Linked DNA regions of Mus musculus: regions 1, 2, 3, 4, 5 and 6 are each reported to be linked to region 7. The links are microRNA targets in miRTarBase. Many come from high-throughput screens and were not tested one by one. Region 7 holds a microRNA gene; each other region holds the end of a gene's coding sequence.
Evidence for each region. The annotated mature microRNA mmu-miR-30e-5p reads UGUAAACAUCCUUGACUGGAAG and lies in region 7 at 2,413-2,434, opposite strand. An mRNA with a match to its seed (bases 2 to 7 or 8) in the 3' UTR can be bound and repressed. Matches are read on the target gene's strand: a 7mer-m8 pairs with bases 2 to 8, a 7mer-A1 pairs with bases 2 to 7 and ends in A, and an 8mer does both.

Region 1: miRTarBase lists Ipcef1 as a target of mmu-miR-30e-5p. The part of its 3' UTR that is shown has no 7-base or 8-base seed match.
Region 2: miRTarBase lists Snx27 as a target of mmu-miR-30e-5p. Seed matches in the 3' UTR shown: 7mer-A1 at 1,155-1,161.
Region 3: the mRNA of P4ha2 is a reported target of mmu-miR-30e-5p. Seed matches in the 3' UTR shown: 8mer at 784-791.
Region 4: miRTarBase lists Mier3 as a target of mmu-miR-30e-5p. Seed matches in the 3' UTR shown: 8mer at 1,042-1,049, 7mer-A1 at 1,210-1,216, 7mer-A1 at 1,566-1,572 and 7mer-m8 at 2,172-2,178.
Region 5: the mRNA of Ppargc1b is a reported target of mmu-miR-30e-5p. Seed matches in the 3' UTR shown: 7mer-m8 at 3,474-3,480, 8mer at 3,318-3,325 and 7mer-m8 at 406-412.
Region 6: the mRNA of Nhsl2 is a reported target of mmu-miR-30e-5p. The part of its 3' UTR that is shown has no 7-base or 8-base seed match.

What each region holds. Positions count from the first base shown.
Region 1 is chr10:6,886,709-6,890,770 of GRCm38, forward strand. Ipcef1 (interaction protein for cytohesin exchange factors 1) reads right to left here. Exons shown (of 9, transcript NM_001170800.1): 9 at 1-3,967. The coding sequence ends at 3,767. It also overlaps a transcript of Oprm1 not described here. Among named protein-coding and RNA genes, the nearest start is that of Ipcef1, 92 kb to the right of the region's middle.
Region 2 is chr3:94,497,724-94,501,788 of GRCm38, reverse strand. Snx27 (sorting nexin family member 27) reads left to right here. Exons shown (of 12, transcript NM_001082484.2): 12 at 518-4,065. The coding sequence ends at 565. Among named protein-coding and RNA genes, the nearest start is that of Celf3, 21 kb to the right of the region's middle.
Region 3 is chr11:54,130,795-54,134,861 of GRCm38, forward strand. P4ha2 (procollagen-proline, 2-oxoglutarate 4-dioxygenase (proline 4-hydroxylase), alpha II polypeptide) reads left to right here. Exons shown (of 16, transcript NM_001136076.2): 16 at 396-873. The coding sequence ends at 466. Among named protein-coding and RNA genes, the nearest start is that of Gm12223, 9.0 kb to the right of the region's middle.
Region 4 is chr13:111,714,531-111,718,597 of GRCm38, forward strand. Mier3 (MIER family member 3) reads left to right here. Exons shown (of 13, transcript NM_172593.3): 12 at 1-57; 13 at 154-4,064. The coding sequence ends at 611. Among named protein-coding and RNA genes, the nearest start is that of Mier3, 30 kb to the left of the region's middle.
Region 5 is chr18:61,295,147-61,299,213 of GRCm38, forward strand. It overlaps Ppargc1b (peroxisome proliferative activated receptor, gamma, coactivator 1 beta), which reads right to left. Exons shown (of 12, transcript NM_133249.3): 12 at 1-3,637. The coding sequence ends at 3,537. It overlaps Gm46627 (a long non-coding RNA gene), which reads left to right and starts at 3,256. Exons shown (of 5, transcript XR_003952647.1): 1 at 3,256-3,318.
Region 6 is chrX:102,082,499-102,086,565 of GRCm38, reverse strand. Nhsl2 (NHS-like 2) reads right to left here. Exons shown (of 8, transcript NM_001163610.1): 8 at 1-3,960. The coding sequence ends at 3,639. Among named protein-coding and RNA genes, the nearest start is that of Rtl5, 13 kb to the right of the region's middle.
Region 7 is chr4:120,770,248-120,774,314 of GRCm38, forward strand. It overlaps Mir30e (microRNA 30e), which reads right to left and starts at 2,450; the gene lies at 2,359-2,450. It overlaps Nfyc (nuclear transcription factor-Y gamma), which reads right to left. Exons shown (of 10, transcript NM_008692.4): 5 at 3,425-3,520. Mir30f (microRNA 30f) reads left to right here and starts at 2,359; the gene lies at 2,359-2,450.

The sequences.
Region 1 (4,062 bases), not on the chromosome of region 7:
TCACAAATCCGTGGCTCATTTCTAATCCCTAAGTCTCTGATACCTGACAGGACAGTTCGCATCTCAAAAGGAAAAATTAGAAAAATGAGCATTTTCCAGCTCTTTAAAAGACTTGTATCCTTTAGCTTTAAAGTCCTCACAGTGCTAACATAGTGTGTTTTATAGAACGGACTAAAAGAAACAACAATCAGGCCAAGCTCCAGTTCTCAGAAAACCCAGTGGCAAGGCAGCGGGACCTTTCGGGAGACACTGCTCACAGCAGTGCCTCTGGGGGTTCAGCAGAAGCCGCAGGAGCCAGGTGTGCAGAACCCAGAGTAATAGACACAGGGGCCAAGTCAGACCATTTGATCCCCCAGCAGGCTAAGCGGAGACAAGCATTCCTCCTCTGCAGAGGGGCTGACAGACCTGAAATTCAAACTCAGATTCCGGCTGTACCACTTGGGGCTTTGAGCCAGGCATTTCATTACACCCATAGTTCACAATCATCCCGATTAGCCTATGGGGTGGTAGGACGCAGGGAAGGGGGTTTGGAACATACAGTTAGCAAACTTCAAAGAGCTATGCAAATATAAGGCATGGGTTCACACTGAAAATATGACTCCAAACCTGACCTCTTTCTTGGCCTGTTGGAATCCTGCAACTGTTCGCTCCAGCATCTTTCTGGGACTCTGAATTTAACCTCAGATTAAAGCGATAGGGAAAGCTAAGAACTCTTATAAATGACAGACATCTTGCAAACAACAGAAAAACGTGCGACATATGTGTGTTAGCAACTTCTCAACTAGTGAGGGTCCTCTGCCAGGCTCTCATCTGGGTCTTCAGATCAGAAAGAAAGAGTCCTCCTTCAGCCCTGCCTCCCCAAAAGTCCCCAGAGAAGCCTCATCCTTAACCAGTGCCATGGGTTCTAAAAGATTCGTGCTCAAAGATCCACCACCAGTGTCCTGAGATGGGTGCTCTGGTACATTCCAGAGGCACAGTCAAGAGTCTCCCCTGGGCTCACACTACCTATAGTCCATTTCCCAGCCATTAACTAGGAGAGATCTATAGTTCCCAAATCTCTTGAACCAGAGAAGAGACTTGAGGCCAAGGGATAGCTCCTCATGGTTTCTCTTCACTGAGGGTCTCTAGAAGTGTCGCTCTCTCTGTCCTCACCCAGAAGTGTCACTCACTCTCCTGCTCACCTCGTCTGTCCTCACCCTACTCTTAGGATCACAGCTGAGGCTGGGTACCCACAGAAGCACCCCTACGCTGTGACTAAACTTAGCCCAGAGTGAAGAAGTATTAATTTACAGAACTGGGGAACAGAGAGTGGTTGGTTTGTGCCCAGGAGGTCAGGACACGGCTGAGACTGACTTGGGAACATTCAGCAGGCTGGTTCCACCAAAGCAGAAATGTCTGCTCTGACTTTCTTGAAGTTGCCTGGAAAATTAACCCTATGACTTGCTCAAGCAATCTCACGAACCAACTTTGCCTTTAGATCTGAATGTTCCTAAAGGAGTTTACATTCAAAGGTCAGTTAAATACCTATGAGTGGAAAGCCAACGTAAAACATTTAAATATAGCAATCAGCCCTCATAAAAAGTGTTTGGGGCTTCCACTTGGGGGAGGATGGAGGTCTGTAAAGTGGAGTTGCTAATAAAAGACATGAGTGGATATTTTCTCCCAGGCTAAGGTTGTTCCAATGCTAATTTGCCTCCCCCCAATGCTTCCTTTCACTGTGAACCCCAAAACATTGCCCTCTGAACAGCTACTAGCCACAGGAGGAAATGGAATCAGTCCTGATAGGCATTAGCATCTCCAACTGCATGGATCCATGGAGGGCCCTGCAGGGCCTCTCAGCTCATCCCCAGGCTTCGTCTCGCCACTTGATGAGTCTGCTTCTCTCTCTCTGCTTCTCTCTGCTTCTCTCTGCTTCTTTCTGCTTCTCTCTGCCTCTCTCTGCTTCTCTCTGCTTCTCTTTTTGCTGCTTCTTTACTTTTCCCTCCTAAGGCAAGGACTGGTTTTCATTTCAGTGTACAAAAAAAGTCTTGGTGAAGTACAGGGAAATAATAAACAATTCTTTCTATTCACCTTATAGATATAGATCAGGTGGCTATTTCTATTTGAGTTTGCCGAGCCACCTGGGATGTTATGATATGAATATATACGTCAACAATTTTCAAAGGGCACGTGAGACACACATAGGTCCTCAGTGAATTAAGGTTATGATTTAGAAGTTGTCATTATGATTAATATATTGTTTTTCCTTGAGATCTCTTTAATGACAAACTTTAATTTTTATTAGTATATAATTAGGAATCATATTGTTTATATTTTATTTGGCTCAATAGTTTGTGAGATGTGTTTCTTTGGGTCTACAACTCATGGCAACTAAATATCATAAAGCTTAACCTTTGTGAATAGAAGAGCTAACCTAAGGAGCTAGTTAAGAAAATGATGTGTAACAGGCATTGAAATGTAAGATCTCTGGAGCTGAGGGTGGGGTTGTAATGGAAAGAAAGCATTCAGAAAATTAGTAATTATTAATACATGCTCCCGTGGTTTTCTCTCGAGATTTCCTGAGCATTCTTTATATATCATAGTGCAATACAATACCAGTAAGTCACTACTATACCTATTTTTCTCAAGCAAAAATGATATGCTTCTAGACATATATATATATATATATATACACACACACATATATATGTATAGTCTATATATCAACACATAATAGTACACTTTCTTTTAGAACACTATAATTTGCATTTCTATAAATATATTTAAATAAGAAACATAGATCACTGTTCAGATCTCACACCATTTGACACATAAACATACAAAAATAAAATGATCCCATTTTGCTGGTCCGGGTACTTCTCCAAGTTAAGAACAACTCAGAAATAACCTTGAGAATTTGGATCCCAGGAAAACTGGACACGAATTCATGCTGGCTCTAGGCACCACAGGCAGGGGTAAACTTAATATAACATTCCTTACAGTGGGTATTAATATCCTACCACTGTTCAGAGAAGCTGGGGGTGGGGGGGAACGACATCTCCAAAGGTCATGTGATAGTTTGTCTCCTAGACATTGTGAGGAAGAGGCATATTAATCACATCCCCTGCCCTACGTAAAGCATGAACTTATGAAGCTGACCTCTGAGTAGAACAGGAAAAATGCCTCCTCCTTGGGCTATCCATTCTCTGCCCCCACCATGCTCTACTCTGCAAATAAGTGCTCAGCAAATAGAACATCAACATTAAGAAGAGCCTTGTGTTCCACAAATGCCAACATGCGTCCAGTTCCAGTAGCTAATAAGGAAGAAATTCCTCCACTCACAACGTTTTGCAGAACTTGGCTGCCCACCAAAGGGAGTTCTTCATGCTTCTTTTGCAAAACAAAATAACATGAATTATTATCCCTGGTAAAATTGAGCCTTTTGTCTATGGCAGGTTGTAATTCTCTTGAAAACAAAAAGAGGGGTTTCACCCATTTCACATCCCACCTAAAGCCTATTATTCCAGCCAGCTCCCAGTAGAAGCACAGACGATATGCCTGCTCAGATGAACTCCATCACTTCATTCTAGTATTGAGGAAGGCAACATCTGGGCGCCAGGACTCCCACTGCATCAAAACTGGCTTCACCTCAGTTGCATCCTTGCGGGGAATGGATGATGTCTCAGGAACTGGGTTTGGGATTTCCTTGTAAGCAGAATGAATGCCCTTGGCAGCATCCTGTAGAATGGTATAGTAACAGGAATGGGGGTGGGATCTGGGCATCTGCTCAAAGAGAATTTTCCACACAATCAGAAGACGTGGGATTCATGACTTCCTGAGGGGTGACTTCAGGGTCCTGAGGTGCCTGCTGCTGATAGATGTCCTGGATCAGCAGGGTGTTCATGACCTTCCACTCTCTGTACTTCCTGGCTGTCAGCTTTGGATCATCCAGCAGCTGGTTGATCATAGCCAAATCGTGTTCTTTGCACTGGCCGGGAAGAAAACAGGAAGGAAAGTGACATCCATGATTATGTGAGGACCTGAACTTCTATGAGTCAACTTCTTCAGCCCTTTCACAGACAT
Region 2 (4,065 bases), not on the chromosome of region 7:
CCAGAGTTTTAGCCATTTGACTGGATAAGTCACAGTAGTGTCTTTCTTCACTAACCAAGAAAATAAATGTGGGGGAAATTTTTTGCTACTGTTGTTTATAGGTGTCAGTGCTGGAGCAGAATTTAGAAAACTCTGTCTAAATACTTGGTTACTTACTCTGAAAGAAAAATCAGAAAATGAAGAAGTATAGTCAGTCACTTGGAAGTTGGTGTTCTTGCTCTAGTAGAAAGAACACTGGGCTCTGGAAGTCATCTGGGATTTCTCCTGCTTCTTTTGTCTGTGATTTTGGGCATAGCAACCACCTTTTTAGATCTGAATTATCTCTTTTGTAAAAGAGAAAGACTGAGCCAGGTGGTAAATATTCAGAGTCCTCTGTGATGTGAGCGGCTGTGTTGGCTTGGGATTGTTGAATCCGGTTGTCAGCGCGTGTGCTGCTCCCATCGTGTCGGAGGGTTGTCTCCAGATCGGAGGCCCTGCTGCTCCTCAGTAACTCTTTTTTTTTTTTTTTTCCTTTCAGAATATTTTCCAGATGGCGAGGTCACAGCAGAGGGATGTGGCCACCTAGCCTTTCCTCATCCCTTTATCTTCTCTTTGCCCTCAGCCTCTTAGCCTTTTCGTCTCCCATGTCAGACAGTAACCATTAACACAAAAGAAGAAAAAAAGGAAAAAAAAGTCACTATGTCCCAAAGTCCTAAGCTAAATATTATTAATAACTTCCTGAGAATTTCCCGTCTCTGGAACTGAGCTGGTAGAGAGCAGGTTGATAGTACCAGAAGTCCACTGAGATCAGACACACAAGCCCAGCCAACACGCCAAAGTCATCTTTGTCGTTTGACCCGGGCCTCATACCAACAGACTCTCCTTGTACTATATTTTTAAAACTGGAACTATGAACTCCATCCATTTGCACTGTTCAAGCATATATATGTATGTATGTATGTAAAAATTATATATACACAAATTAGCTGCACGTATATACATATATATATTTCTTTTTAAATTTCATATTGATGGCAGTACCTTTTTTAGCTTGTGTTTTTACACACCTTTCACAGAATTCATGACCTCTCTCTTGCTCTCTTTATTTTGAAACAAACTTTAAAAAGGAAAAAAAAATACAGGGAAAATACCTCTCCTCATGAAGGACTCGAAAAGTTTACAACCTGCTTGGGTTTTCTTCCCTTTTTTGTATTGAGTACAGTTTCTGGCTGTTGGTTTGCCATAGAGTCTGAGGATCGAGGAGTGTAGTGTCTTTATCTTCAAGAGGGTGCTGAGGAGGAGAAAGGCCGTTTCTCAAGAGCAGTTGAGGCTGCAGGGAGTCTAAAGACCTAGAGTCTCGATTCCAAGTCATTTTCCAAGCCATGGTCCATCGATCGACGTTGAGTCCGTCCTCCATCTCCTTCCTGTTTCTTTAGGGTCTTTTATTATGCTCCCTTTTAACTGACCCAAAACAGTTCAGGGTAATCTGAGGAAGCTGTTATAGTAGGAAACTTTTTCTTCTGCAACAGGGGTTGTATCAGGACTAACCCTGACATCAGAGGTTGGACAGATGGAGGAAAGGGAGGATGGAAGCTGTGCCTCAGATTTATAAGGGCCTTACCTCTTCCATTCCTGTCCAGTAACCATCTATTTTACATCCTCTGTGAGTTCTTTAAACAGCTGTACGTGGAAGGAGTGTCTTGGGTAAACTTAGAGTCTGGGTTGCTGCCAACCAAATCAGAGCCCTGTTCATGACAGCTGAGGGCCCAAGAAGTGGGAGTATGGTCAATTTTAGTTCACCACCACCATTTACTTCAAAGGAGACTGAAGAGAAATCTCTTAAAGAGTTCTTTACCTGGAGCTGGGGCTGGTCCCGAGGCTGAGGCTGGGGCCGGGAGTGTTTGCCTAGCCTGCATAAAGCCCTCAATTCCATCCCCAGCACCACATAAAATTTGGGTGTTGGGGTATTGTAGCACACACCTGTAATCTCAGCACGTGGGAGGGGAATGCAGGAAACTCAGAATTTTCAAGTCCACCTCTGCTAACTAATGAGTTCAAGGCTATCCTGGATCACATATCTCAAAAGTAGAAGAGTTCCTTACCTGCCCCTGCACTTAGACCTCCTAGGACCTAAAAGCAACATTTGGGACAGAGGCCAGGCTGGCACTAGAGTAATAGTCTCAAACCTTGAGTGTAAAGAACTCTGAGGTTAGGTACAACTAAAACACGTCTTTGAAACTCTTTATCTACTTTTCCTTCGATATTGAAGCCTCCACAGGCTTCGTCTTTGGCTTTATGTAGCTGAAAGGCAGCCAGAATTGGATGTAGTTGGCAGTGTTGGATTTGGTTTAAAGTTTCTTTCATGCCTTGGTTTTGCAGAGCATTCATTATGAGGCTACTTTTCTGTCTCCATTATTCTGGCAGCCACTTGTCGCAGGAAGGTGTAAACACACCTTTTAGGATAGTCTTTCCCTCCCCTGTCCAAACCCGTGGGACCACAAAGTACAAAATATAGTAGTGTTTAAAGTTGAAAAGGGCAATACCTGATTTGGAGGCTTTAATCAGGATCAACTCTCCCTCTTGGCTTTACTAATGAGTCTGAGTACCTTAAGAGGGGGCGAGTTGATTTCCTCTCCAAGATGCTCTGGAGGCCAGCTGTGTTCAAACTGTAAAAAGAGCAACATTGCAGCTAATTCCCTCAGGAAGAGAGCCTTCCAGAATAGGGACAGGGCTTTGGAAGTCCTGAAGAGTCAGCCCCACTGTGTTGGGGTTAACAGAATCTGTAGGAACACCCTGCTTTAGGTAGTCTTCCTACCAGAACACCCAGCTGCAGCAGGGAGCTGGGAAGAAGCAGCTCCCAGGGTCTCCCAGTGGAGCTGCAGTCCTGGAAGAGGAGGTCACGGTGGCCTAGAGGCCCACAGAGGCCCACAGGATCAAGTTCTTTTGCATGAAGCAGTGTTAGATGTAACTACTCCCTCCCCCAAACCCCTACCCTTCCTTTCTCTAATCCCTTCTATGTTTCTTAGACCTGGCTTCTGCCCAGGAAGGCATCTACAGGTTTTTTGGGCAGTTTGTCTCTGGGGAAGGGACTTCCCCTCCCAGCTTCACTCCAGCAGAATCTTCCTGGTCTCCAACTGTTCTTTCCTCCACGAGGAGTTTCTGTTCTCTGATACTAAAACTCAAGAGATCTTTACGGAGCAGGAAACTACTTAGTCCCTGAGAAGCCAGGTGCTCTAGGAAGCTTTGCTTGGGCAGTGCTTTGAGCTTGCCGCTCTTTGTACTTTTATTCCGGTCTTCGTCTCTCCGCCTTCCCCTTGCCCTTGCGGAGGCCTCAGCTCAGCACAGCTACAGTCAGTGTTCAGGGCAGTTCCCAGGCCTTGACAGAGCTCTCAGGGAGGAACAAGGTAAATGCTCTAGCATCCTCTTGCCTGGCCCATTTAATTTTATCCTTTAGTTACCTGGGCCAGTAGCTTTGAATTATCCCTTCATTGCTCCAAACCCGATGCCTGAAGCAGCAAAATAGGGCACTGATAAGAGGGAGCACCTCTCTCATCTCAGAGTTTCCAGCTTAAGGGCCAGCTCCTAGAAAGCAGTCTTCTTAAAGGGACCTACATGCATTTGCGTTTAGCTGAAGTCTCCAGGAATGGAGGTCCTTTCTGCCCTCCTTTCCATTCTGCTGGCTTCAGCACACTGCTGCTCCTTCACCAGTTGGATGGGTTGCTTTAACTTCTTTTTGGAGGAGCAGCAGTGTGGCTGAATACTTAGCGCCAGCGGGAGGGAGAACGCTTCTTTAGTCCTCCGTCTTGGATTCTTCTTCCTCTAACCCTCAGCATATCTGCCAGGGCTCCTTTCCCTGGATAGCAGCAGCTTCTTTCTCAGCAGTAACTGAGGGTGCATGGAAATCGGGCTCTGGGGAGGAGCGACACCAGAGGGACTGATCCTGGTAGGAGCACTTGGTTAGCTGCTGACCATGGGTGCCAACTTGTTATTATGCCCCCTTGTAAGCTGCTGAGCTGGGCTTCAGTTTTTCCCAGGCCATGCACACTTATAATTTATTTGAGAGAAACTAATTGTATTTTCACTGCA
Region 3 (4,067 bases), not on the chromosome of region 7:
GCTCCTGCCTTTGGAGACTTTCTCAGCTCACTTTCTGCGTTTACTCCACTTGGAGTGGCAGCCGTATGGTATACCCGCCTTCTTTCTGGGATAACTTCTGTTGGCTTCCTGTTCTGTTTCAGTACTGCTCTCATCCCTAACATCATGAGATGCTCTTTGGCTTTGTTCCCATGGTAACTTACATACACCCACCGAATCACTGGTTGGCTTCTGCACCATTATCTGTGTGCTCATGTATTTTCATCAGCACGTGAGCAGCTTGAAGCCTGAGGCCGTGTGGCACTGGAGTGTTACCCACAGAGCACAGGGCAGTGGTCATCATGGAGGAAGCATTCGTTTTGGCTGCTTGCTGAACTGATAGGTGGGATGGTCATGTACTTGCTTTCTGTTCACAGTCTCCAACAAGTGGTTCCATGAGCGAGGACAGGAGTTCTTAAGACCTTGTGGAACAACGGAAGTTGATTGACGTCCTTTTCTCTCCGCTCCTCCCTGGCCCATAGTCCAAATCATCTTCAAGTTCAACATGACAGCTTCCTTTTTATGTCCCAGCTCCTGTCAGGCAGGTCATTGGAGGAGCCAGTGTTTGACTGAATTGAGAGAGTATATCCTGAGCCTAGTCCTGGGTGACCTGGGCCCCAGACTCTGACCAGCTTACACCTGCCCTGGCTCTGGGGGTGTCTTGGCATGGCTGCGGTAGAGCCAGACTATAGCACCCGGCACGGTGCCTTTGTACCTCAGATATTTCAGGTAGAAGATGTCTCAGTGAAACCAAAGTTCTGATGCTGTTTACATGTGTGTTTTTATCACATTTCTATTTGTTGTGGCTTTAACCAAAAAATAAAAATGTTCCTGCCAGAAGCCTTAAATAGCCTTATTTTGGAGTGTTTTGGTTTTGTTGTTATTCTTGTTTGGTATTGTTTGTATTGTTTGGTATTGTTTCCAGGAACTGGGCCTGGCTTGGCTTAAAATGCCTGCCACAGCTAGGCGTGATGGCACATGCCTTTTATCCCAGCACTCGGGAGGCAGAGGCAGGCGGATTTCTGAGTTCAAGGCCAGCCTGGTCTACAGAGTGAGTTCCAGGACAGCCAGGGCTACACAGAGAATCCTGTCTTGAAAAACCAAAAAAAAAAAAGAGTGCCTGTCACACGAACATGGACCTGAATTCTGATATCCAGCAAGTACATAAAACTCAGGGCCTGACAGTGCCTCCCTATAATCTCAGTGCTAGGGTGGCAGAGGCAAGCATCTCTGGGGCCTGCTGACCAGGCAGCCTAGCCAAATTGGCAAGCTCCAGGCTCAGTGAGAGACACTGTTTCAAAAAAATAAGGTTGGAAGCTCACAGAGGAAAATGGAAGAAGTGGATGGCCAGTCTCCACAAGCCGGTGTACACACAAACACGCACACGCATGAGTGTGTAGCACACCACGCAGGAGCTCTTTTACAATTTTTTTTCTGATTTGTGTGCATCTCTGCCATACAGATGTTCTGCAGAGCAGAACACTAGCCCCAGGTTCTAGACCTGGTTTTTCCACACTGGCGTGCCCTCCAGGCTGCAGTGTGGAAATCGGAGGTGGTAAGTAATCTCACCTGCTCACCCAGAGAACACAGAGAGAACAGGTGTTCACAGCTGGAAAGCTGTTAATGTTCGGCATGGGACATGTACACTGAGTTGTCCCCGGTGACAAATGTGAAGAATGTGAAAGCATGTGTCACCTTCTGCCGGCTGCAACCTTCCTGTCAGCACTCGGGAACCGTGTGGGAGGCCCACCAGACTGCATCTCCTTCCCGGTCCCCAAAGGTCAGTGATAGCCGTGGGCTGATGGTTTGCGGTCACCACTGAAGTTTCCCTCCTGTGACCAGGTCACTGAATACAGTTACCTCATTTTCACTGACCAAGTTTGTCTGTCTGGCTTCTTTCATCTGATATTTTGTTGAAGGTCTGTATTACCACAGAGTTTGTTTTTAACAGTTCATGCGGCGGGGGTGGGGATGGGGGTGGGGGGCCCTCCAGAGAAACAGAACTGGAAGGGTGAATATATGTTACAAAGGGGGATTTATTAGATTGCCTTACAGGATGCAGGCTGGGTGGTTCAACAGTGGCCAGCTGCACTCTGGAGAGGCTGAGAACCAGCAGCAGTTTAGTCTGTGAGGTTTGGTGACTCTGTTGTCCCAATCTGGTGCTGAAGGCCTGGGGACTTCAGCAGAGTGACTGGTCCCCAGTCCACATTGGGAGGTGGGAGAAGCAGTGAAGGGTAGCAGCAACTGGGCAGATGCACTCACCAGCAAGACGCAAAGGCAGGCAAGGAAGAACAAGAGAGCTGCTGTTTTGGATCATCTTGCATCTGGACCATCACAGGAACGTGTTGTGTACTGTGAGAGAGGGTTCTCCCCCCTCCGTTAATCCCTCCTGGAAGTGCCCCCACAGAGCTGGCCAGAGGTGTATCTCTTGGTTGACTCTGGATTCTATGATATTGGCACTCAAGATTCATCATCACAGTGGGTCTATATCACAATACAGAATTTGAGAGGGTCTCAGTCTTTGTATAGCATGACAAAGGATGTGATAGGCATTTTTATACATGACTTCTGGTTGCCACAAATACAGTTCTTTCGTATATTTACCTAAGAACAGAAATGTGGACTTCCCGTTGGTCAGTCTTCAGTGTTATCTTATGATGTATGCAGTATGTTATACCCACACTGACCAGGAGTAAATGAACGTTCTTACCCTACCTCCCTCCAGCATCTGGTGTGGTCCTATGCTTAGGTTTTAACTAGCTGGGTGTGTGCTGTGGACCAAATGTTTGAGCCCTTCCCCCAATTCATACATCGAAATCCTGACCCCTAGTAGTATTAGAAGGTGGGATCCTTGGAGTTAATGAGGTCATAGGACTAGTGTTTTCTTAGGGAGATATATGTTGTCCCAGTCAGGGTATCTGTTGCTGTGATGGAACACAGTGACCAAAGCAAGTTGGAGAGGAAAGGGTTTGCTTGGCTTTCACTTCCACATCGCTGTTCATCACTCAAGGAAGTCAGGACAGGAACATGGAGGCAGGAGCTGATGCAGAGGCCATGGAGGGGAGCTGTTTACTTTTTACTCCACATGGCTTCCTCATCCTGCTTTCTTATAGAACCCAGGGCCACCTGCCCAGGGATGGCCCCACCCACAATGGGCTGGGCCCTCCGCCATCAATCTCTAAGAAAATGCCCTACAGGCCTGCCTACAGCTTCATCTTATGGAACATTTTTTTCATTTGAGGTTCCCTCCTCATAGATGGCTATAGCTTGTATCAAGTTCACATAAAGCTAGCCTGTACACTTTTAAAAGCATGATTTTTATTTTTAAATATGCATTGTTGTTCTGCCTGCATTTGTGTCTGTGTCAGATCCCCTAGAACAGAAGGTAGAGACAGTTGCAAGCCGCCATGGAGATGCTGTAAATCGAACCCAGGATCTCTGGAAGAGCAACCAGTGCTCTTAACTGATGAGCCATCTCTCCAGCCTCTGACAGTGTGTATGTATATATATATATACACATTCATGAATGATATCCCAGGGAACTCTCTATCTTCTTGCCATGTAAAGAGATAGGAAGAGGATAGTTGAACCAGGAGGCACACACTCATCAGACGATCCAATAGCGCCCTGGCTTTGATTTTTCTTCACTTTTGAAATAAAAGAAACAAATAGATCATTTTATCCAATGTATAGTATTTTATTATGGCATCCCTGTATACGGCATCCCTGTATAAGATGGTACCTGTTGGTGCATATCAGTGATGCCGAACACCCTTCTGGGTTTATTGGTCACTAGGTGTCTTCTTCAAGTTTTCCTTAGTGATTCATAGACACTTCAACTTTGTTCATTATCTTTTCCAAATGCCTGTGTTGTGGGCTGTCTTTTTCATTTTTAGTTAAGGCTATCTTGTCTTCTTGTTGCTCTTCTGAAGGTAACCCCTCCCCTCCTTGTCAGTAGCTTTTAACATTTTTTTTTCATTTTCATTTAATTTCTTGTGGTTTTGCCTTGATGTAGTATAGGACTCCTTTCTATTTTCCTTCTGGGCATT
Region 4 (4,067 bases), not on the chromosome of region 7:
CCGTTCCTGATCAGCCGCTGAACATTCTCAGCTCCTTCACTGCCAGTGACCTGACAGGTAAGACGAGGCTGCGTGCACAGCCTGCTGCAGGCTGCATTCTGTTGTTGCAGAGCAGTGACCTCTCACTTAAACTCCTTTCCGTTCTTTTTCTAGCTTTAACCAACAGTGTAGCAACTGTCTGCAACCCCACCGCTGTGAATTGTCTGGATGACAGCTTTCCTCCGCTGGCCAACACGCCTCGTGGACACGTCAATCATGTGCCTGTCGTAACGGAAGAGTTACTCACCCTGCCCAGCAATGGTGAAAGTGATTGTTTTAATTTATTTGAGACTGGATTTTATCACTCAGAGTTAAACCCCATGTGCAGCGAAGAATCCGAAAGACCAGCAAAGAGATTGAAGATGGGCATTGCTGTCCCCGAATCCTTTATGAATGAGGTTTCTGTAAACAACCTGGGTGTAGACTTTGAAAACCATACACATCACATCACCAGTGCCAAAATGGCTGTCTCTGTAGCTGACTTTGGCAGTTTGTCTGCCAACGAGACAAACGGATTCATCAATGCCCATAGTCTGCATCAGCACCAGCACGCCGCCCTTCATTCAGAGTGATGGGAACGGGAAGCCCAGAGACAATGGGTATGCAGTACCAGTAAACTGAAGGGGAGCTATCAGGTTTGCATAGTCTTTCACTGGAAGTTTGAACCTTTTTCACTATGACATCAGTGATGTCAGTATGTATAGAACTATATCTTGATTTATCAAGAGTATTTTCATTTTTCAATCCATAAATGTGGAAATGAACTATGATCCGCAGAGTTGGGAACTAAGATGGAGCTCTGTGGTGCAGCTTTAAGCTCTGCTTCTCCTCATCCCTTAGTACCTCTTCCACGGCCTCCTTTTTTTCTGTTCCCGCCGCCCTCATCCCAGATTTAAAACCTGTAGACAGAGGCCACCAGCTCAAACCAGCACAGATGTTCAGAACTGATGTGGCCTCTTTTCATGTCAGCTCCTTTTGCCGTAACGGATGCAGTGGGATCAATGTTTACAGGTACCAACCCCGATCCCTGTTCAATGTAGCATTATTATTATTTTTTTTTGTTTTCTTTATTAATAAAAGCAGGGGTAGGTTTCTTTAAACTGCACAAACATGCAAGGATTTTTTTTAAAAACAGAAACTTCTCTCATGTTATTCAACTAGAGCACTTCAGTTTACAAAACAGCAAGACCATCTGTCTGGAAGCCGGCGCGAGGAGCTGTGTGCAAATGAAGGAGACACTTGCTTGGATCCTGTTTCAAAATTCCAGACCAGGGCTACCTTACACAGAATTGGTCATTGTACTGCCGGGGGACTTCTGTGTAAACTTTTTTTTTTCTTTCTTTCTTTTTTTTTTTTTTTTTTTACAAAAAAATTGGCATTTGAAGATGTGGTATTCATATGGGGTTTTGTCCACCATTGTCAAGATTGTAATATTAAAAATCATACTGGTCACTGGTAATTTAGTTTGTTCCGAGGCAATTGACTTGCAAGGCACAGTCTACAAAGCCCAGGAAGTTGCCACAGTGGTTTACATTTTGGGACACCTTGTTTGGAGCACTGCAGTTCAAAGTGTTAATATACTTAGACTTCTAGATGGTATACATAACGCAGACCCTTGAAGCTACTTTGTTTAGCTCAAATAGTTGGAAAGAAAACTGTGAGTTTCTGTCTGAAGTAGAATGGTACGTTACCACTTTTAAGTTTTAAAACGTGACAGATGTTCACGTGCATCTCAGACGTGATTTCACTTTTATTCCAAACATGAGTAAGAAGCCATTGTCATAGCTTTGACCATTTTTGCTTTATTAGACATGCTCCTTTTAAGTTTTCAGGTGAGTCAAACTCTACAACACAGTGTTAGGATATAAGCTTTACTTTTACAGTTAAAACAATTACTTTTTGCACCGTCTTAATTAAATATTTTGATTTTTTTTTTTATTTTCCTAGTTGTGTTGCTGTTTATAAGTGTGAGTCGCTTCAAGGTCGTGCTGAAGAGTAGGTAGGAGGTAGTGGTCCTAGTGACTGGACGGGAGGGTATTTATTGCACAAACTGTGAACTGCAATGACATCCTTGCTTTTGGATGGTGTGTATTGTTTTCCTTTGCAGCATTTTAATGAAGATTGCTTTGAAGTGTTTACGCAGTAGCACATTAAGTATAAAATTTAGTTTAGCACAGAGGACAAAGGGTAGTTAAATTAATAACTTAAAATCAGTCTTTAACTTATACATCTAAAATTGAGTATTCCTGTATGCACACAGTAAACAATGGGTAGCCTGGGCTCCATGTTGCTTTCTAATACTCTCCAAGTGGTTAGCTAGCTTTTTATTGCTGTGCTGTGCTAAACTTTGAACCTTGGTTTTTTCGTTCCCTTCAGTAGACTTTCTTTAATGTAGGAGGATACCGGGCATGTTCTTGCATTGTTAAAACTATATTTTTCACTCTGGGTTTACCGTGGCTGGTCTGTATAAATGATTTATACAAAGATAACTGAATGCTAATACCAGTTGCACTTACATGAAAATGCCCATTCTCTTTGGCTGGCACAGTTTATCTATGCATCGCTGGGGTCTTGATGTAAGATGGAAACAGTGTTTCTCATCTAGAGTTTTGATTATCAGCAAGTTGAATGGACACTTTAGTTATTTAAATAGAGTTTTGACCAAAATCCAGAAAAATGATATGAGAGAAATAAATTCCAGCTAGTTTAACAGATTTTTAAATGCTAACTGGATTTTAGCCTCTTAGAGAGTGCTACCTAGCTGGTAACGTTTACTTTTAATTCCTTGTTAAAATGAGGCAATAATTTGCAAGATTTTTGTATATATGTGTACAGTAAATTCTTCATATCTTTTTAGACCTAATTCAATATTTTCTGACTGCTCCTGTCATGTATGATACATTTTTGTGCATGCCTGATGTGACATTCATAAATTGTACCACTATGACTTTATCCATGTAAAATAGCTATTTATTGAATTTCTTCCAACAGCTGGACTTATTTTTTTGTCTCCATTTGAACATCTTAACAGAGAATTTGTTACTGTTTATTAAAAGAATTGAGTTTGAAAGCATAAAAAATCTGCTTTGCAATCGTATGAAGAAAAACAATGCCTTTATTATCACGTGTTAATAAGCACAATTCTTATAGCAAACGGTGATGAATTCTTTGTTTCTTTCATTTGCCGCAATATTTTCATATGAACAAACCAAAAATCCATGGTGAGCAGTGGCGGTGTCGGCTGGCCCATCCTGTGTGTCCAGGGCACTCGGAGGATGTGGACGTTGACGAGTGTGACCTGGTGCTGTGACTGGAGCAATACTTTACTTTCGTCACGTGTGCTTCGCCGTGCTATGCCGGCCTTTTAATGTTTAGTTTTCCTCTTGTCATGGTCAACTGCTGAATTTACTTGAAGGATGTAGAATACTATTTAAAAAAAAAAAAACACAAAAAACCTAAAGTCTGTACAATTAGGTCAAAGAATTGTGCAATCGCTTCCTTTTTAATTTTTAAAATTGAAGGTCACAAATATTTGCGATCAGACCTAATAGAGTAGTAGCGCTATTTAATTTAACCAAAGTCTAGTAAATACTTCAACGTTGAATGTAAGCTAACAACCCGACCACCAAGGAGATTGTCTGCCCAGAGTTTCAAAGCACATTGTCTACGAATGGAAATTGAAATAATTTATAAAATATTGACATTACTATGTTTTTTAAAAAGTTCCTAATTTTTTCACTAAAAGGAGGGAAACTATTAGTTTTATTGTTAAATATGGTAGATATTAATATTCCTCTTAGATGACCAGTGATTGCAATTGTCCCAGTTTGAACTAAGTACCCTGTGAGTATGAGGAACTAGTGACAATCAGAACAAGTTTTAGTATCCAGTGTTCAAGAGGAAGTTGCTATTGTTGCATTGATTTTAATATTTGTACATAAACACTGATTTTTTGAGCATTATTTTGTATTTGTTGTACTTTAATACCTGGTGTACAGTTCCAGAAATAAAAATCTGGGAATCTGTTT
Region 5 (4,067 bases), not on the chromosome of region 7:
GTGGCTGGCTCAAAGCAGTCCTCCCACCACCCCTGGAACCTTGCTGTTCACCAGATTCTAAAAGATCAACAGAGACACACAGGCATAGGATGGGTACTTTCTGACTCAAAGCATTTTTCTAGCTGGGGCCACAAGTGATGTCGGGGGATGGGGAGTGGGGACCTTGGCTGTATCCCATTCAGTCATATTTACCTATTTGATGCATTTTCCTTCCGTAACAGAGTCCCCTGAGAGAGAGAGGACTCTGATTCAGCCTTGTAGTGACTGAGGAAGGAGACGGAAGAATTCCTCTTAGTGATTGGATCAGACATTTCTAGAAAATACCAGCACAGCAGAGATATGACACGGAGAACTGCCCTCCCTGGGCGGCTGTCAACAGTCTATAGGAAGCTATGGCAATCACACGTAAACATCATTGAGACACATCACGACAGCTACAACGAGAAGGTTGCCCATGGCGGCTGCTCCCTCTGGGTTACTCCTTGATTTGATGGGAAAGAGACCAAGATGGATTCCTGGTCTCGAAGGGGCCTGACAGTCTCCTTGGTAAATTATATGCAGCACCGAATGGCTCTTCCAGAGAGGGGGAGGAGGGGTTATCTGCAGAGCTGGTAGTCCATTTTTATGAGAGGGTAAGTGGAGAATACTAGAGAGTCTTGGTGGGCATCAGTTCCCACCAGGAAGTTCCGGTAGGGCTCAGGGCTCTGTTCTGCTCAAGAACAACATCTGAGTGACTTTGAGTGCCAGAGAGTGAACTGACTGGTCAGCTCCAGGTAACCCTGGCTGGGAGAGAGAAAGACTTAGTGTTTATTAAGAATTTGATCTTTTACTCCAGACCCAGCATCTGGCTTCAGTGTAGCTGCGGAAGCAGATGGTAAGATAAGAGCCCATGGTTCCTTGGACAACTCCTACATTGGAGGTCCCAAGAAGAAGAGACTCATAAAGTCACAAAAGAAGGTCTTGGTGGGGTCAGAGTTCAAATGGCTCTCCAGATTATGTCTGGTCCCTTTCCCTTTGGGTGATTTCAGCGATCACTGGCTTTCCTCTGTGGTTAGAGCCCCGGTTTTAGTAGATACAACTGAAGAACCATCCCAGTCCACACCCATCTTCCATGTGCCTACCATATGCCAGGCAACGAATAAATGAATAAAGGAATTCAGAACGATTAGGTCTGTACTGTGAAAAGTCCCCTTTTGGATCTATCCTCAGAAGTCACGTCTTCTCCAGTTCTGATTCCGTGTTCTACTGCGCCCTTCCCTTTCCACACCCCTTTGTTTTGTAATAGTTTGGGAGTCTTCTACTGAGTAATGGCTTCAGGGGCATTTTTTTCTTTTTCATGGATCAGGTTATGACAGGAACGGCCAGCATAAAAACCAGCCAGCATATGGCTCTACAATGATAGTCTTCCAAAGATTAGAACAGGATGTCAAATCAGTTAAAACACCGACCAATTAATAATGCCTGCCTAGAGCACTGTGTATTCTAAGAGCACGACCAGGCTCAAAAAAATTAGTGTTTATGATCAATTAACTATGTTTGCATCCCAAGGATGTGTGTGTGTATGGGGGGGGGGTGGGGGGAGGCGTGACTATGTACTGCCTGAGTAGCTGCTAAGACTTCTTGCTGTCTAATTTGCTCCTCAGTCCATTTCACAGAAAGGGAACCTGGGGTTTAGGGAGGCCAAGGGATCTATCTCACACACAGATTCTCTGTTCCCCTATTTCTGCTAGAGCCAGCCTCCTTATCTATAGGTGAAGACTTTTCCCAACACCAAGCACAAGATCATGGCTCACTTTCTCTACTGAGGTACTTGATAATCTTAAAAAAAAAAATTAACCACCAATTATCAAAGGAATAAGCCTGTCATTAGCAGCTGATTAATCAAACTTTCTTATTTGGCAGAACAATGAATGAATGGATGGAGAGGGGGAGAAAGAGAGAAAATGTCACAAGACCAAGGAGGAACTGATCTATATGAAGCATTAGAGCTGATACTCTGCCCATAGAGCCGGCTCTCCCTCGAGAAGGGCCCCTGGGGACCCAGAGAATGTCACACTGGATATGGCTTTGACAGTAGTCAAGAACGGGGTCAAGAGGAGCTCACTGTGAATGCTCCTTGGGAGTGCCTTGTCCACACCCCCAACCTGTACAACCCCTCACTCGGCAACTCTAACTTTACAGAGGAGGGGCAGGCAGGGACACTGTAGGATATCGGAATGGGCTGCTAGTTGCCCTCCCTGCCCGCAAAGGACAGCCCCTAGGTGAAGTCTGTGCACCGCTTGCAGGGATCTCAGAACCTTGAGGGGTATCCACAGGCAGGATAAGTCGCAGGACACCGAGGATCGAAGCTCAGGGACACCTGAGTCTGTGCTGAAACTTGAATTTGCCTTAATGCTGGTGAGTCAACTGGTGGCCCAATTCTCAAGTGAGCTATTAGGCTTCTAGCCTATTGCTCAATTTAGCTAATTCCACTCCTCCAGTCTCTGACTTTTGCATCTTTAGGCTAACTACTGCCGCAGGCTGGGGCCAGCAGTCAGGAGGCTAGAGGTGGCTCACTGCTCTGCCGTGAGACCTTGGGCAGCACATTTCACAGTTCACCTCTCAGGGCACTATATCCTCTTTCCCCGTGGAATGGGTCTAACATAGCTTACCCCACCTTCCCTACAGGCACTCAAGGTTCTGAGCACTAAAAACAGGTGCCCTCCAAGTGTGGGTAGACAGGGGGAAGGGATTCTCGTTACAGCTCGAGTGGAACTCACTCAAAAGACACCAGGACTTGGTAGAAGATCCCTAGACACCTCTCTCTTCTTCACACCTGTGACGGCAAGCCCCTCTTTCCTGGGGACTTAGAAGCCACCCAGTATCTCCAGGACTACATGGACCAGGGAAGCAGCAGCGCAGCTCAGTAGCAAACACCTCGTGACAGTGCATAGTTAAACAATCAAGGAAGCAGTACGTTAATCCCAGGCACAGTAATCAGAGCCATAAATACATTTGTTTTTTTTTTTTTCTTTTTAAGGATATACTTTTTTTTTCTTCAATTAAAAATGAGTTTCTAACTCCTGATTCTATTCACAAGTAACAATGTCATCATCACACTCTACAGACAGAAGATGTTATGTGAACACAGCTCAAGTCTAACAGAAGGAAGTCAGTCGGGTGGGAGGGGCAGAGGACGACTGACAGCACTTGGAGGCGCACCCAGGACGATCCGCTGGAAGCGAGGACGACGCTAACGTGGCAGTGGAACATCAACAGCATGGAAACTCACGGACGGACGGACGGACGGACAGACGGACGGAAGCAGCTTTGTTCAATGTAAACATTGATTTGTTTTTGTTTTTCGTTTTTTTTTTTTTAAAGGAAACGACAGCAGATTCAAGTCTTTCTCTCTCCTGTGTGATCTCTCACGCTCACTCGCTCGCTCGCTCGCTCGCTCGCTCTCCTTCTCATATACTCTTTTCTTTGAAAACGTAAACATATTGGAAGGGCCTTGTCTGAGGTATTGAGGTATTCCTCGAAGGTTAAGGCTGATATCAATGCAGGCTCTGCTGGGCCTCTTTCAGTAAGCTGTCAAAATCCATGGCTTCGTACTTGCTTTTCCCAGATGAGGGAAGGGACTCCTCAGATGTGGGATCTGTGGGCCAGTGAGAGGTGAGGTGGTGAGAAACTCAGTCGAAACCAGCAAATCTACCACTGAGGGTGGGCCTCAAGGAACTGGGATAGCCAGGGTTTCAGGCCTCATGGAACTGGGATGGCCAGAGTGTCACAGTGCCGTAGTGGGCGCTATCACAGCACCAATGGCCATTCTGCTGTGACATTTCTTCCATGTTGGCAAGGCCTCATAGCTTCCATGTTCCTGTTGTAGAGCAACGGGTCCCTGAACAGAGAGCACCCTACAACTCCTTTCCGGCCAACATCCTAGAAGTGCTAACGGATCTCATACAGACGGGAAACAAGTCTCACGATGGACTACCTGTATCGCAAAGGCTACCATGGGCTCTCCTCCTACAAATCATTTGTTTCTGTGCCGTGTTTCTTTGTTTCCCACCAAGCTATGCACAAAT
Region 6 (4,067 bases), not on the chromosome of region 7:
TAATGCTTAGGCATACAAAGGCTTCTGGCAACAAATGGAGAAACAGCAAAGAAACATTTGGTGCAGAACCTGCCCCCCAAATCACAACTACACTCAGGAAGAGTAACCGATACAACTTTACAGAGTGCAAATCGCAGGGCCAAGGCAAGGGTAAGGCACTGGCGGGGGCCTTGAGAGTGGGCGTCTCCCCAATCGCCTCACCCTAGTCCTGGCCCTGGCAAATCATAGCAAAGGAAAAGCTCACCATTGTGCCACAGACTTGGCTAACATAGAGGGCGGAGCAGTGAGCAACAGAGCACTGAGTGATTGATAGATAACTAGTCTTTTTTTTTTTTTTTCCTGACTGGTTCAAAGGTGAGGAGGAGGGGGGTGGACAGGTGCATGGGTAGATCTGCTCAGAGTGACAAGGTACGGAGACAACTGGATCTGGGTTGTCTAGATAAAGTAGATGTCAGGCAGAATGCTTGTTGGCAGAACCTTAACCTTGGGGTCATGAAGCTAACAGGAATGGATTGGCTGCCCATGGCCTTGACTCCTTTGTGGCTGAGCTGTTGGTACCAGTGCAGTTCACGGGTGTTAGGACTGGAGGACAAGTTGGAGGCCCATGCAGGCCAGGAGTACAGGCAAAGGGGAGGAGCCACAAGCAAAGTCAGCCTTTGTACTAAGACTAGCCTGCTCTCCACCACTCACATTTGAACCACAAATCAATACCCACCAAGTACAAAGCATTAATTGCATCTTGGGGTGGGGATGGGGGGGGGCGTCTTGCCAACCTTTGTCTATATTCACTCTAACAGAGCCACCTACCACTAAAGATTGAAGCTGGAGGGAAACAGGGGAATACAAATAGCTTGAAGCAGAGGCTGACTACCTGGGGCCAATTTGAGTTCCCTCCAACTTACTGTCTATTCTACCTATAGAGATCACTCTGGAAGCAACTTCCCAGAGAACCTCCCTGAAAAGAGTTTCTCCTCAACTTTCCCCCATCCTCACCGGCAGCATACATTGTACCCAGGGAAGAGAGTTGAATAAGAGAAGGTTAAGTATTAGAAAGATGCTTGGTGGTGTGCTGATCAATGAGTGGTAAATCTTTTCCCCAATAGTCTGGTTTCTTTAGGACTAGGTCCACTCCTGCAAACACTGAATGGACATTCCCAGGCCTAAGTCTTTTCTCTGACTGTGAAGTCTCTGCCCCAAATCCTTTTGTGCTAATGGGTTTCTGAGGGTCATAGTGATGCAGAAATGTTCTAAACATCCCGGGCCCACAGAGTTTTGCAGAGGAAAACAAGGGTTCAGGCAACTGAAACCACCTCAAGCGGTCTAAGCGTTCAGTTTTACAATCTTTTGGGGGGGGGAACACCTCCAGAGGTAGCAAGGTGAGGGGAGAGGCAAAACCCATGAGAAGGAACAAACAAGACACTTGCAAAGAAAAAAAATCAGCAAAAGTAGCAAGCCCTATACAGAGTCCCATATGCTCACACGTTCAACCACTCACGATGCTTCTGAAGGGCAGAGCCAGGGAGCCTTTTGCTTCTCTTAGACACAAGCATGGGCATCCGCTCCTTCATTTCCCTACAGAGGCAAATGCCTCTGTCTTTTGGAGTTCTGAGTTCAGGTCAGCTGTGATACTTCTATATAAACTAAGGCCAAGACTGAAGTCCAGATCTCACTATGTAGCCTCAGCAGCCTGGAGCTAGCTATGTAGATCAGGCTGGCCTCAACCTCACAGAGATCTGCCTGGCTCCATCTTCCAGGTGCTGGGATCAAAACTGCATCACACATTCCTGCCTGACTCTTGTTTCAATTCAGTCAAAACTTAGGAAACTTGGTTAAGATCTTCATGTCAAATGTTTTAAACACTTCCAAAACAACTATAGTTTCTCAGAACTGTCTTATTATTTAAGAGACCATTTTCCCCTTAAGTCTGAGAGAAGTGCTAGAAGACAGTTGGTGAGCTTGACCTATTTTCATTTGTCTAGAATTCAGAATTAGACCAACCCAACCAAGGATTTCAGCCTAAGGCTTCCATGCCAGGGGCTCGAGTCTTCTCAGCACTCAGTGGAGTTTTATTTCAGTTTCAGCCATGTTGCCTTGCTGGAGTGTGGGCAGTTGAGCTAAGAGCTTGCTTCTCATTGATAAGGATTGTCAAAATGGAGATCTGTTTGTTTCTGGCCTCTTGCTGCATCCTCCAGGAGAGTGAGCAAGGAATCTGGAAGGGCAGAAGTGCCGTGGGCAGGGGTACAGGAGGAAGGGTGCAGGGAACCGTTTTTTGTTGTTTGTTTGCTTTTGCAAAGCACGATACAAGTTCATTTCCTTTTGGCCCCCTTGGGACCAGAAGACCGAGAGCTTTCCAACACAGGCAAGCACGGTTTCTCTGCTCAGTGTTTTGCCCATCTTATCCCTAGCCCCCCAGAAAGCAGGTATATGGAAATCAGGAGCTCTTGCTTTGCTTACAAAACTGAGTTGACAAGAATGGCCAGTGCCTGATGACTTTGGAAAAGAAGGGGTCATTGTGGTTGTTCTGGAAGTCTTTCCACATCTGCTGTCTTCCACCACAGCTAACTGAAAGTTGGCCAAATAGCAGTACCTAGATGGCAAAAAGTAGCCCTTGTATCCTGGGCCATAGCATGGCTGCCTTTTTGATTTTGAGTGGATCTTTTTTTTAGTATACAGGTTCTGGACTTTCGAAAGAGTCAGACTTCCTTTAAACAAAATCGAAGCAACCACAAAATAGCACAATCTGAATCGAATGGTATCGGGACAAGATACCATTCTTTCCACTCCTGGAGCCTTCCATGATGCCGGTCCTTTACCTAAGTACTTCCTGTAAAATGAATGTTACATGCAAGTGAAATGAGCGTTCTTGGAGTATACAGCATGAGCTGGGCACAGATCCTGGCTACCTATGTTGACAGACACTCGAGAGACCTCAAGGCGTGCATGCGAGTTACCTTGGCTGAGCTTGGTTCATTAGCTAATGGGGGGGGGTCCTAGAAGTTTATTAAAACTCATCACCCTGATCTCCGCATAGACAATCAAACTGAAAAAGGCATGAAGTTTTGGAAGAGTCACAGTCATAGTTTGCACCACAAAAGCCATCCAATCAACCCCATGCCGTAATTAGTGCACGCCTACAGAACTCTCTCTGGAGGAAAGTCACACTGTGGTTGAGGAGGCCTTGGTGTCTTTCTGTGTCTTCACAAAGGGCCATCAAGGCCTCTTCAAGGAAGTAGATAATCAACAGTGGGAACTGGTACCCTCTGTCCCCAGGCCTGATTTAGAAGGTCCCAATCTGTTCTCCGTACTGTGTCCCTCAGTGACAGGAGCCAATGGACAAAGACAATAGGACGTTGAAAAGGTGGCTCTCCAATCTGAGGCTCTCTTAGTGCACAGGGCTAGAGACAAGAAGTAGGACTCCGATGTTCAGTCATGGCAAGGATGGAATAATGGAAATGTGGAAGGTCTGAAGCCTATCTGAGTGCCAGGTGAGCTCCATTGTTGTGTTGTCCTCTCTGCTGTTCAGAGTGTGAGTTAACATCAAAGACATCGATTCTTTTGTCATTCCTGTGGTTGGTTCCTTTCTAAAGCTCTCTCTCTTTCTCCTTCTCTACTCAGGCCTAGGAAGTTAGAAGCAGGGCTTAGGTACTGGGGTTGTCAGTGGGTTCGTAGTCTTTTGAGAACTGTGCAATAATCCTTCGAGCCAGAGGGTTAGTGGTCTTCAGCAGCTCGGCCGCTGAGGGGCGGGTCCTGGGAGTTGCCTTACTTCCCTTCTTCTGGAGCAAGGCCTTGAAATCATCATTTCTACCAGCATCTAGGCAGGCACTGCTACTTGGCCCTGGGGCAGCAGCAGCCTCACCGGTGGGAGAATCAGCTGTATTCTTCACTGGTGAATGGGAGCTGGGTTTGCTTCCCGTGAAGCCCTCCCCAGTCTCTTTCCAGCCCAGTAGCTTTCTTTTGGACCTAAAGGAGAGAAAGACTCGTCTGAGAGAGTTCAGAGAATTCGGGGAGCAGAAAGCCAGCAAAGCTTTGAAAAATTGCCAGCAAGGGATGTGCTAAATAGTATGCAT
Region 7 (4,067 bases):
CTGAGACATTTCAATCGCAACATAACAAGGTTCCCCAATGGTCATCAACCCAGAACACAAAACTGTTCCTAACGTTCTGGTTATCCAAGCAAGTCTTTAAGCATAAGCTGACCTTCTGCGATAATGTAGTCTATGCTTCAAACCCACAGTTTCAGTCCTCAACCTTCAGCAGAGGTAAAAAAAATATATATATAGAGCTCCTTTTATTTTCTCAACTTCAAGTCAAAGCCAGGTCCATTTCAATTTTGGTTTCTTTTCCATTTTAAGCAAAAGTCAGCTGGCAACCATGTCTTGGCAGGGATACATACCAATACTCCTTTAGACCACAAAACTGAGGTCAACTGCTCTTTCCAAAGCTGTGGAAATAAGTTCAGTGTCTATTTTTCCCCTCACTGAGATCTCCCCTTCCTATTTTAGAAATAGGAAGGCCGGACTTAACAGTGGAAACACTCTTAGCTTATGAGAGTATTAAGAACTGAGAACACAGAGCAGCTGGGGACACGGTCCCTTCCTGCCTTTGACCTGTGATCAGCTCTAGGTGTCCATAATTACAACACTGAACAAGGGTTTTGTTTTGTTTTTCCAAGATAAAAAGCAAATTCTTTAAATACTTCTGCCAGAACCCAAAATAGTGCTTTAGCAAAAGCTCTCAGGCAGGCAGGTAGCCTCTCCCATGTTTTCTACTGCATCCTCTCAGGTAATAATGACTTAGACAGTTTCTAGAACACTGTTGTCAGGACAAGCATGGCTATTTTCAAATTGCTGTGATGGAAGGAGGCACAAGTAAGGTTCTTCTGCTTTATGAAGCACTCATTCTGCAAATGGAGATCAAGCCAGCAGGAAATGATGATGCTTGATTTAAAGAAATGGGTGAAAAGATAATGACATTTCAATGAGCAAGGAACTTTCAACTCATAGCTTAGTCGGGGAGAAGTCAACCCTCAACTACCATCTACTTGCAGACAATCTACTTACTTCCATGGCAAAAAAGAGAGAGGGAGACTCCAAATCATCTCTGAGAAGCCTCATAATCCAGTGTCTCCCTTTCCAGATGGATCAGCACCAAGCCCTAGGAAAACACCTGACCGAATAGGTCAGTACAGAAAGGTACCTGCTCCATGCTAACACTCAGTACAGAAGGGTACCTGCTCCACACTAACAGTGGCTTCTCCAGTGCTGAGACTGAAAAACAGTGACAGTGAACAAACAGTATCACAGCACAGGGTCATCACTACACTGATGAGCAGCCAGCTCCAGACTAGGGGAAAAAATACATTTGCTTTAGTGGCAGGGTGAACTGCTGCCTCCTTCAGAGGGTGTGTTTTGGAGAGTAGGCACTTTTAAAGGACTTTAGGAGGTGCCAGCCAATTTGGAGCTTGGGAAAACTTCATGTCTACAGAGAATTAAAAAATGCTATCTTAGAATTTCAGGCCAGCTTTCAGCAATCTCAACCTTTTAAATGCCAGGCAGCAGCTGTCCTGAATAGGATGCCAATCAATAGCTCAAACACCTACAAAGAACTAAAACCAGGCAGCTAAAGGAGTGTTCTTGCTGTATACCTTTTAAAGGGAGATGGACTAAGTATAGTGGTCCATGCCTTGAATCCCAGCACTCAGGAGGCAGAAGCAGATAGATCTCTCCGAGTTCCAGAACAACCTGGTCTACACAGTCTAGTCTAGCCAGGGATACACAGGGAGAGCCTATCTCAAAAATCCAAACCAAACCAAAGAACAAAAGAGGGAGATGGGGTAGACCACCAGCAAATCTAACACCCTGACAGACCCAGAAGAACAAACAACTTTGGAGGAAGGTATAGGTCAGCAGCTCTCAACCTGTGGGTTGTGACCCCTTTGTGGGATGGAAAGATCCTTTCACATGGATCACCTAAGACTACTGAAAAACAGATAGTTGCATTAAAATTCATAACAGTAGCAAATTACAGTTATGAAATAGCAATGAAAAAAATTTTATTGTTGGGAGGTTATTACAACATGAGGAACTGTATTAAATGGTGCAGCATTAGGAAGGCTGAGAACCACTGGTATAGGATAATAACTTTCTCTTTAGTCATCTATTCAGCAGGCAGCCCATAGTGAACAATCAGTACAATAAGAGCAATGCCTGACTGCATCACAGATCTTACCACCTTGTCTTTAAAGGAAACTCCTGGTGGATACATGGGAGCAAAAATCCAATAAGGAAAACAGGCTCATGGTATTATCAGCTCCAAACGAAGAGAGACAGTCTGAGTTCTTGTGACTTCTCAGAGAGAAAGGAAGTAACCCAAGAAAAGGAGACAAGTTCATGGGCACAAACCTGCAATGTCTCAAAGCCGATGAGCGCAGCCGGGGACGACTGTGGCAGCCTGCCGCTGTAAACATCCGACTGAAAGCTCCTCTCAACACCTTACAGCTTCCAGTCAAGGATGTTTACAGTAGCAAAGACTGCCCAGAAAAATAAAGAGCTTCAGTGAGGCACAACCTGCTCCCATAAGGAGGTGACCCAGGGCTTGCTAACCCAAAAACCCTCATGCAGGGTCAGAATTAATGTCAATTAGGATGCCCACTTCTCCAACAGGTTTTCTGACTGGTTATTTGTACAGGTCAACATGGGGAGAATGGTTGTCATTAAATGACTCTAAACAGTATACTACAAAATAATTAGTTAAAAACACTTATATTTTATGAACAAAAATAAAACAAGCAGGACATGGTATGGCTTTACTTCTCTGAGGCATATTACACTAAACCTAGTGAATCATGCAAACTGCGTGCCTGAAACAATGAGCTCTATAGGACTGGGGTCTATCACAATCACAACTAAGTTATATGCACCCAAGTGCTGAACAAAACAAATGGTGTGATCTTTGGAGATGAACAGGCAGAAGAAGGGCAGACACTTAGTTCTTGTAATTAAAAAGAAAAATGTAAATGGTGGTTCTAAAACTTCACTGGACACCAAAGCATCTAGGGAACTTTAATTATTGATTCCTGGGGTCATGGGGTCATAGGTTCTGACTCAGTGGATGATGGGTAGAGTCATCACACTACAGAGACACAGCATAGAGTAAGAAAATAAAAGCCACTGGCTCCAATCTGATCACTATGCACAAAGAGGTTGTTTCTTAGAATCTGAAAACTGACTGGCTGAAAAAGCTTTTATTTTAGATGAAGAAATCCTGAACTGAGCTTCACCCCACTATCTGTGACTAGTCTTTTTAACTTTGTTCTCTCACTGCAACCCCACCCCAGAGGCACTGAGTTAAAAGTACCCATAAATGAGTAGAAGGAGATGCTGAGGATGATCTGGACTACGGAAGAGAACCACAAACAAGAAATGCTTTGGGTGGGAGGGAGGGAGGAGCTCCGGAGAGCATCTTGCCCAGGCCCTGGAGGTGGCAGCTGAGCAAATCCTCCCAGCTCACCTGGCGCTTTGGAGGTTTCAGTTCATCTCTTGGAACAATATCGATGAGAAAGTCGAACTGATCAAATTTTGTAATTGCCATGGCAATATCATTCCTCTGTAACAAAGAAAAACAAAGTTAAAAACTGGCCTAGGAAGAATCTAGTTCTTTTGGCTGTTATCCTTCAAGTAAAAGGACATGATCCTCTCCTATCCCCTAGTCCCAGTGTCTGGGATTAAACCTAGAGCTTTACACAAGCTAGACAGGTATTCTACCATTGAGCTATGCCCCAGCCCAAGGAGATGACTTTTAGACTGTACTAAAAATCTCTAGGTTTGTCTAGAGCTAAAAATAAGAACAGCTCAATTTATATCAGACTTGCTGGACAGAAATCAACGAAAGAGATACACATATCTCGTGCTCTAGGCCAGGACATCTGAGCCCTACTCACCACTATTTCTGCTTGTTCTGGTTTCAAAGCTTCCATAAAGTTGTAAAACCACCATCCTCTGGCTAATTCAGGACAAAGCCAGCAGTCTCAACTGGCATTCTGTGGTCCACAAGGTCAGCCCATCATTCACTTGTATGATCTTTTTAAAGGCCCTAAGCACTGTTTGTTGTTGTTGTTGTTGTTTTTCTTTTTACAGGCACTTATAATCCAGTC